2 linked regions of the Xenopus tropicalis genome follow. The protein of the gene in region 1 interacts with the protein of each later gene in a pairwise test. Links are inferred from orthologs where the notes say so. Each region holds a gene or a part of one and is shown in the gene's direction. Other genes may lie near its edges.

The links. The genes of interacting proteins can lie anywhere in the genome.
Region 2: the proteins of prkab2 (region 1) and ubxn11 interact in binary tests that used the Homo sapiens proteins (3 or more experiments, as listed by UniProt). The link is inferred for Xenopus tropicalis from reciprocal best matches to the Homo sapiens genes PRKAB2 and UBXN11.

The regions. Positions count from the first base shown.
Region 1 is NC_030680.2:118,100,494-118,104,149, forward strand, and holds the end of prkab2 (5'-AMP-activated protein kinase subunit beta-2), read left to right. Parts: intron 1-310; coding exon 311-379; intron 380-1,358; coding exon 1,359-1,436; 3' UTR 1,437-3,361; downstream 3,362-3,656. UniProt on the Homo sapiens protein: Non-catalytic subunit of AMP-activated protein kinase (AMPK), an energy sensor protein kinase that plays a key role in regulating cellular energy metabolism.
Region 2 is NC_030678.2:77,353,619-77,357,374, reverse strand, and holds the end of ubxn11 (UBX domain-containing protein 11), read left to right. Parts: coding exon 1-70; intron 71-149; coding exon 150-237; intron 238-1,105; coding exon 1,106-1,323; intron 1,324-1,405; coding exon 1,406-1,483; intron 1,484-1,558; coding exon 1,559-1,673; intron 1,674-1,752; coding exon 1,753-1,856; intron 1,857-1,930; coding exon 1,931-1,998; intron 1,999-2,975; coding exon 2,976-3,101; intron 3,102-3,184; coding exon 3,185-3,341; 3' UTR 3,342-3,522; downstream 3,523-3,756. UniProt on the Homo sapiens protein: May be involved in the reorganization of actin cytoskeleton mediated by RND1, RND2 and RND3. Promotes RHOA activation mediated by GNA12 and GNA13.

The DNA.
Region 1 (3,656 bases):
TATATTGCCCCCACAGTATAAAGAGAGAAATGTGTAGAACAGTTTTTGTGGGCACATCTTAATACAAAATCCATGTTTAATGCTGGCATTTCCCATAGGTCAGTATGTGGTTACACAACACTTCAACCCTTCTTTTATCTCTTTACTTAAAATTCCTAACATTCTTCTTAGTATTAGCAGAGGACAATCATTTGCTCCTACTGGTAACACATTTTGTGTTTTAAGTGTACAGACATGACTTGCAACACATGAAAAGTTTGAATATGAAGTTATGTTAAAACCTTCTCTAACACATGTATGTTTATTTTAGTGTGATCCTGCCCTCCTTCCAGAACCCAATCACGTCATGCTAAACCATCTGTATGCTTTGTCAATAAAGGTAAAGTTTTCTGTTAATAAGGGGTTAAAGGAAATATTTCAGACCCTAGTAATGCAGAAAAGTATAAAGGACTACCATACAGCTTAGCTGCCAGCATCATGAATATCGTTAACAATCTAATATTGTGAGATTAGACCTTACCACAGTAAAATTCACCCACTCTCTGTTCATTCCATTGGGATTTTTAGAGACGTATTTATCAATAGGTGAAAGTTAGAATGTACCATTTGATAAATACTCCTCTAAAAATACCACATGAAGAAACAGAGTGGAGTATTTTACAGTGGTGAGCTCTAATTTTACACTTTCATAAATATGCCCCTTCATGTGATTTACCTGCTCCTTTATTAAAAAAAACTGGGACAGTAACTCACAAGAAATAGGATTTCATGCATGCTGGTTGCATAAACGAAAGAGTGTGGGTCAAAGTAGTGCTAAAATATGAATAAAGCCTGCTCTGGAAAACCTGTGTGGTTAAGCCAAATCCCGGCACAGTCTCTTCCAGGACACAGTCCCACACTCCACTCCTGCTGGACACTATAATGGAAGCAGTCCCCGCGGTTGCAGGGGGCCCAGATTGCAGCGGTCGCAGGGGGTCTGCTTCCCTCCCCAGCCGCTCTTTTACCTATTCAACATAAGTGGCTGGGAAGTAGTGGACACGGGCGGGTGGAAGATTTTTTTGCCTTACAAGCCAGCGCATGAATTCTCAGAATTGCTTGAAAGTGCAAATTCATAGAATTACTACTTAGTTAAATGCAATGGGGGATGTGTTAACTGTACAAGAATAATGCAGTATACATTTTTATATTTCAGTTTATAGTTTTTATCTTAAACTAATCTTAAATCTTGTAACTGATCAATAATATTTGATAGTCATCACAAGCTAAGCTGACTGAATAGTTTCCCCTTATAAATGTTGGGGACCCACAACGCACTTAATGTACCAACCTTCTGTGATGTATCGATTTTTGTTTTTCAGGATGGAGTAATGGTTCTTAGTGCGACTCATCGCTACAAGAAGAAGTATGTCACCACTTTACTGTACAAGCCAATTTAGATTAGGCGCAGTTGTCAGTCTATCTATGTGTGTGGCATAAAATTGGTCGGATACATACCTTATGGATGAGCAGGTTGAACCAGTGTTTTATACTTGTTCTAAACCTAACTTGGTACGGTTGGCACATGGGAAGTGTTGCTAAAAATTATATGTTCATGGTCCATTTATTAAATAAGGTGGACTTAAACAGGAAGAAGTGGTATTTTCACAGTCTGTACTCCTTCCTGTGATGCAATAAGCAAACACCCAATATTATGCACCACTGACTCTTTAACTTTAAATGCAAATACTTTTTAGAACTAGCAAAACTAGAAGCTGATGAGTATGTTAAATAAAGGATTAAAATGATGGCAAGGTTGGCTGAAACCTGTCCTGGAATGGTGAATGGCACATTATTTTGTTGCCTTCCATTGCTGTCTTGAACCAAATTATACATAAAAACCCCAAGTAACATTTACAAATGCCCTATAACCGTCTCTTATATAGTTAAAGTGTTAATTCTCACATAGTGTTATGGTATCTTTGCAAAGTAGAACAAACACCACTCAGATGAGCATGTTGTGCGCCTAATTAAATGTGTCTGTATCTGAGAATGTATTTACCTCTACAGTGTTCTTTCATGTACAGTTCTGTGAATGGCTGGTTATAAACCTAACATTCTTAATACTGTCACTTGATTTCATGGTGTTAAAAGTGCCCTTAGCCACAAAATTGTACCTGTGTCATTAGTATACATTGTGGCACTTGTCCTGCTCCTTCTGTCCTGTTATCCCATGTTACATTTCTCTTTGCACGTTGTTATGCTGTTGTTTATAACTTGTAATCAGTGTTTAATGAAGAAGAGTTGGAAGGTGTTGCTTTGTAAGGTTTAATGTTACCATTGGATTGTGTTACAATGTAAAACAATTTCTAAATAATGATTGGGTATTTACACATTTAAGTGGAACCATGGGAGACAACTCCCTGTTTTGTCCATTATCTACTGATAAAATTGTTACCGAGTGCCTCCTGGCAGACGGTAAGCTAACATAGACAAATATTAGGGTAAGAAACTCTTACACATAATGTATTTAGATATGTCTGCCAAAAACAGAGCTCAAATTTTTACAATTGTAAGTTCAATGGATACAAGTAACCAGAAAGGGTTCAAAATTCTGTTTCATTGTTTTATCATATTAATAAGTGTTTTATTGTATATTTAACATCTGGGGGATTATTTATATGGAATAGTCATTTTGTAATTAAAAAACAAAGAATAATAAGATGATATTGCTTTTGCTGCCCTGTTCAACTCCAGGCCTTAGGGGCCTTTAAATACCAACAATAAATATATCCAGGTGAGATAATGAGTTATTCATGTTTTTAATAACTTATCTGTGAGGTTAGTGTTTTAAAGGGGAACTGTCATTAGGATTAAAAAATATACAGCAAGTCCTTGTTTAAATAATCTTCACAAATATTTATTTTATATTATAATATTTTAGATATTTAATCTTTAATTATTTTTTATTTGTAGGTTCCCCGCCCTAACATTTTTTCCTGCTGCTAATAGCTATCTCCTGCTTTGAGTCTCAGAATTATTATTTGGAATAGCCAAATGCCAAACAGAATGATAGATATTCAGAGCAGGAAAGAGAGCTAGCAGAAAATTAAGGAAACAGATTTATTAAACATCTATTACACTTTGGGTGCATGTTGATTACTAAGACATCTCCCCTTTAAGACCCTAGAGGGCTAGATGAAGACTGGGATATGGTACTGTGTACACAAAGGTACTCCCAAAGAACGTCACTTTACTAGAGGCTTGTGTGCGAATATGTTTCAGAACTCTAGCTGTGTATGCACTTTACTTTAGAAGTAGATTTGTTAAAAGAGAGCAAAACTGTGAACTTGTTCAATGCAATATTAAACCACAAGTATATTTATTTATTGCCTGTTGTGTTGTATTTCTGTTGTAAGTGTATTTCTTGCTAGGTCAATAGTAGATCACTTACCTTGTACCCTCTGTGCAAGATCATTTAAAGCTCAGTGGCCAAGTTCCTATCTGAAACCTATTGTGTAGAAAACTGATGAGTGCAGGATTTGAATGTAAGTATCTTCAAGGTCCTATTACCAGCAATCTTTGATAGGAGCAATTGTCAGGTGATTTCTATTGAAGTATTTAGGGGCTTGTCTGGAGTATTATGGCACCACATTTTCAGGTTCCAAAAAACACAATGA
Region 2 (3,756 bases), on another chromosome or scaffold:
AAGTGGAAGGAGAGAACAGGAACTGGAACACCAGTGTAAGGAACTAAATAAAAAAATCTCTGAGATGGAGGTGAGTGTGTATGGTGTGCCATATTTTTTCTAATAGCTATGTAATAAGTGAGACCCAGAAATGTTTTGTTCCTCCCTAGCGTTTCCTTGGTGATTATGGACTGGTCTGGGTTGGGGAAAACAATGCAGATGTCTCACCTGAATCCACTGCCAGAACATGGAGCCCAGGTAATTGTAGATTATAACATTGCCACTGTAAACAATCTCCTTGGAAGCAGCGGTTCATAGCAGGCTATGAGAAGCTTCTATCTGTTATTCGGATATCACTGGAGTATGGAGTAGGGTCAGCCCTGAAAACTTCTGTTTAAACAGTGTAAATTCAGTGTATTAAGGGCTAAACTACATGGGAAGTAGTTTTCTAATGCTACAGTATCATTGATCAGATAAGTAGACAAGCCTGTACTCAGCGTTGCCAGGCAAATAGAACTCCTAATGGTTATTAATGCTAAGGTAATTAGAGCCAGGGACCTTAAATAATGAAGAAGTGAAATGTTTGCATACACCACAATTACTATTTTCTTTAATCCTAGGTTCTAGTATTTGAAATAAATGTCACTAGGCATTAACTTTTCCATATTATTGAAAAACCATGTTATAACACACCGATTGACAATAACTAAAAATATTGCTTCTCTGTATATTTACTAGGGATGCACCAAACCTATATTTCAGTTCCTTGGGTACGAATTTGGCTAAATACCGAACCAAGCCCAGAGCAGAAGCAGAAAATGCAGGGGAAGGCATGCTGCAAATATTTTTCAATACTTAGGGCTCAGATTCAGCTAGGCGGTTGGATTCGGCCATGTCATGCTAAAAATGGCTCCGATTTAGCTGAATCCCAAACTAAATCTGGGATTCGGCCCATCTCTAATATTTTTTACATGCTTTAAGTAGGAGTTCCACCTATTGTCAGGAATCAGTCCCTATAGCTTTAGCACTAGTGGTGTTTTCACTTTACACTTTTATTAAATAAATGGGTAATATGAGACTTTTAAAAATAGTTGTATTTATAGTAATATTTTTTTAATCTCCATAGGACCTTCTTCACCTACTTCTTTCCTACCAGACTTTGATCTAGTCCTGGAAAATTTAAGAGATTTGAATGTACTTGGAGGTGAGGGAGAATCGCATATTGAGTATCAAAAGGGAGGGGCCCGTTTGAGAGCACCCGAGTCTGTCCCATTGACTTTGTATAAAAACGGGATTATTATGTTCCAAGGGCCCTTTCGATCCTACAAGGAAAAATCCACACAGGTGAGGAAAACAGAAACAGTGGTATGTCAGATGGGAAAGAAGTTATTTTCCCTGAAATAATTTGTCCTTCATTGTGTTACAGCTATGTATAAGAGATATCATGGATGGCTATTTTCCCTCTGAACTGCAGGCCCGGTTTCCTAATGGAGTCACATTTCAGGTAAGAGAATTGCTGAAGAATACAGTCTACGCATGTAGGTGAAAAGGACTCTTGAAAAGTATCTTTGCCTTGCAGGTTACAGACAACCGCAATGTAATTTTCCAAGAGCAGCGGCGATGGGATGATTTTCCTGGTTCTGGTCAGACTATTGGGAGCTCAGGAAGTAATTTACAAACTAACAAAAAACCAGGTAAGGGCTCTCTTTAAAAATAAGGCAAGCCCTTAAGGGTTTATAGAACATTTTCATTGTAAATTCTGCCCACCAACAGGACCACAGCTTTCCACTGACCAGTTCTTGAATAGACTGCCTAAATCTGTAATTCGTGGGGGTAGAATTGTGCATGTACGAAGTGCTGTAAGAGAAGCTCTGCAGGTTTGTACATGACCATGGGAACGGAGGGTTTGGTGGAGCATCTTCAGACAGTTAGCTCTTGTTGTTTTTCTAAGGGGTCAGAAGAAAATGAGATGCCAAAAGAAATCTTAGTGGAATCTCCACAGCTATCAAAAGAGCAGAGGTACGGATAGTAAAATGTATTCCATAGGGTTAAAGGGGGGTAGTCATTACATAATATCTTTGCTGTTTTTGTTTTTAATATTTTTTTTATTAAATATAGTGTTTTCCTTTGTCTCATAAATCCAGTTGTCACAGTTATATTTATTCAAAGTCCAGCGTTTTTTATTGATGTCCTTCAGTTAAGCTTTCTTTCTCAAGCCAAGAATAAAACAGCTTTATTATTATTATTATTAATGTATTTTCACAAAAAGGTGTGTTGCTGTACATGGGCCCATAAAAGTTATCCCCATCAGCCCTAAGACTTTGGGTAGCCACATGGGGCTCCATCCTTTCTATAATGGCACAATTGTAAACAATGTAAAGAACACTGTTGGAATGTTGCTTTTGGCGAGTTTTAAAGGAATAGTTTAGTGTAAAAATGAAACTGGGTAAAATAGATAAACTGTGCAAAATAAAATAATAGTTTCAATATAGTTAGTTAGCCAAAGGTGAAATCTATAAAGGCTGGAGTGGGCAGATGTCTAACATAACAGCCAGAACTCTACTTCCTCCTTTACAGCTCTCTAAGCTATTATCAGTCAGTAGCCAATCAGTGATTTTGGGGGGGGGGGGGGGGGGCACATGGGACACAACTATTCAGTTAGTTTGTGAGTGCACAGGTCAGATTCAAAAGCAAACTAACTGAACAGTTATGTCCCATGTGGCCTCCCTAAAGTCACTGACTAACTAAGAGCTGAAAGCAGGAAATAGTGTTCTGGCTATTATGTTAGACATCTGCTCAATCCTGCCATTATAGATTATATTTTTCCATAACTATGTTAATATTATTTTTTATTTTGCGCAGTCTATTTTACCCAGTTTAATTTTTACACTGAACTGTTCCTTTAAGACAGTGTTGCCATCTCTCTCTCTCTCCTGATGTAGGATCACAACTATACAACAAGATTTAAAGAATATAAATATTTGTATTTGTTTTAGCACACAAGACAACATGGTAGTGTCAACTTTAAGGATCAGGTCTGAGTCTGGTGATAAAACATATAAAGTGCGAATGTTGTCTTCAGAAACCCTTGCCGACTTGCGAAATTACTTGTCCTCGTGCCGGTATGTGTTTTTTGTTTTTTTAAAATCCTATAACATATTTAGTCTGTTTATTTCTCATTCCTTATTATATATTTTGTAAGCAGGGCACCTGATCTCTCCTCCTACAACATTATCACCCCTTTCCCTTACTGTGTGTATGAAGATGATACATGTACCTTGGAAGAGGTTGGCCTCGTCCCCAATGCTTTTCTAGTTCTCAGAGCAAGAAGTGAGGAGGAACAAAAAAAGCAATCAGTCTGAGGAAAAAAGAAAGAATTTCATTTATGAATCTAAAGAACAGAAGAAACAAAGGGGCGGTGATCTTTTATCTCTTCCTGATGACTGTTCAACTTGAACTTTACAACATGCACTTTTATATGGTATAATTCTACAACTATACATGACCATAAAGGAACAATAAACTAATACTAACAGTTCTTTATCAGTATGCAGATTAAATTATGTTCTACTGTGAGTAAAACTTGATAGCTGGGAGGCAGATTTTGCCACTGAAAAGTCACCTGTTAGAAAATACATCTGCTAAAGCTATCCCATATAGTTGGGAGGTCATTTTTAACACTATTAACACAAGAAACATTCTTAACACAACAAGAAACATTCCCCTAAGTGTTGTACTCCATACAAATTTGCCATAACATCTTATAATTCCCACTAA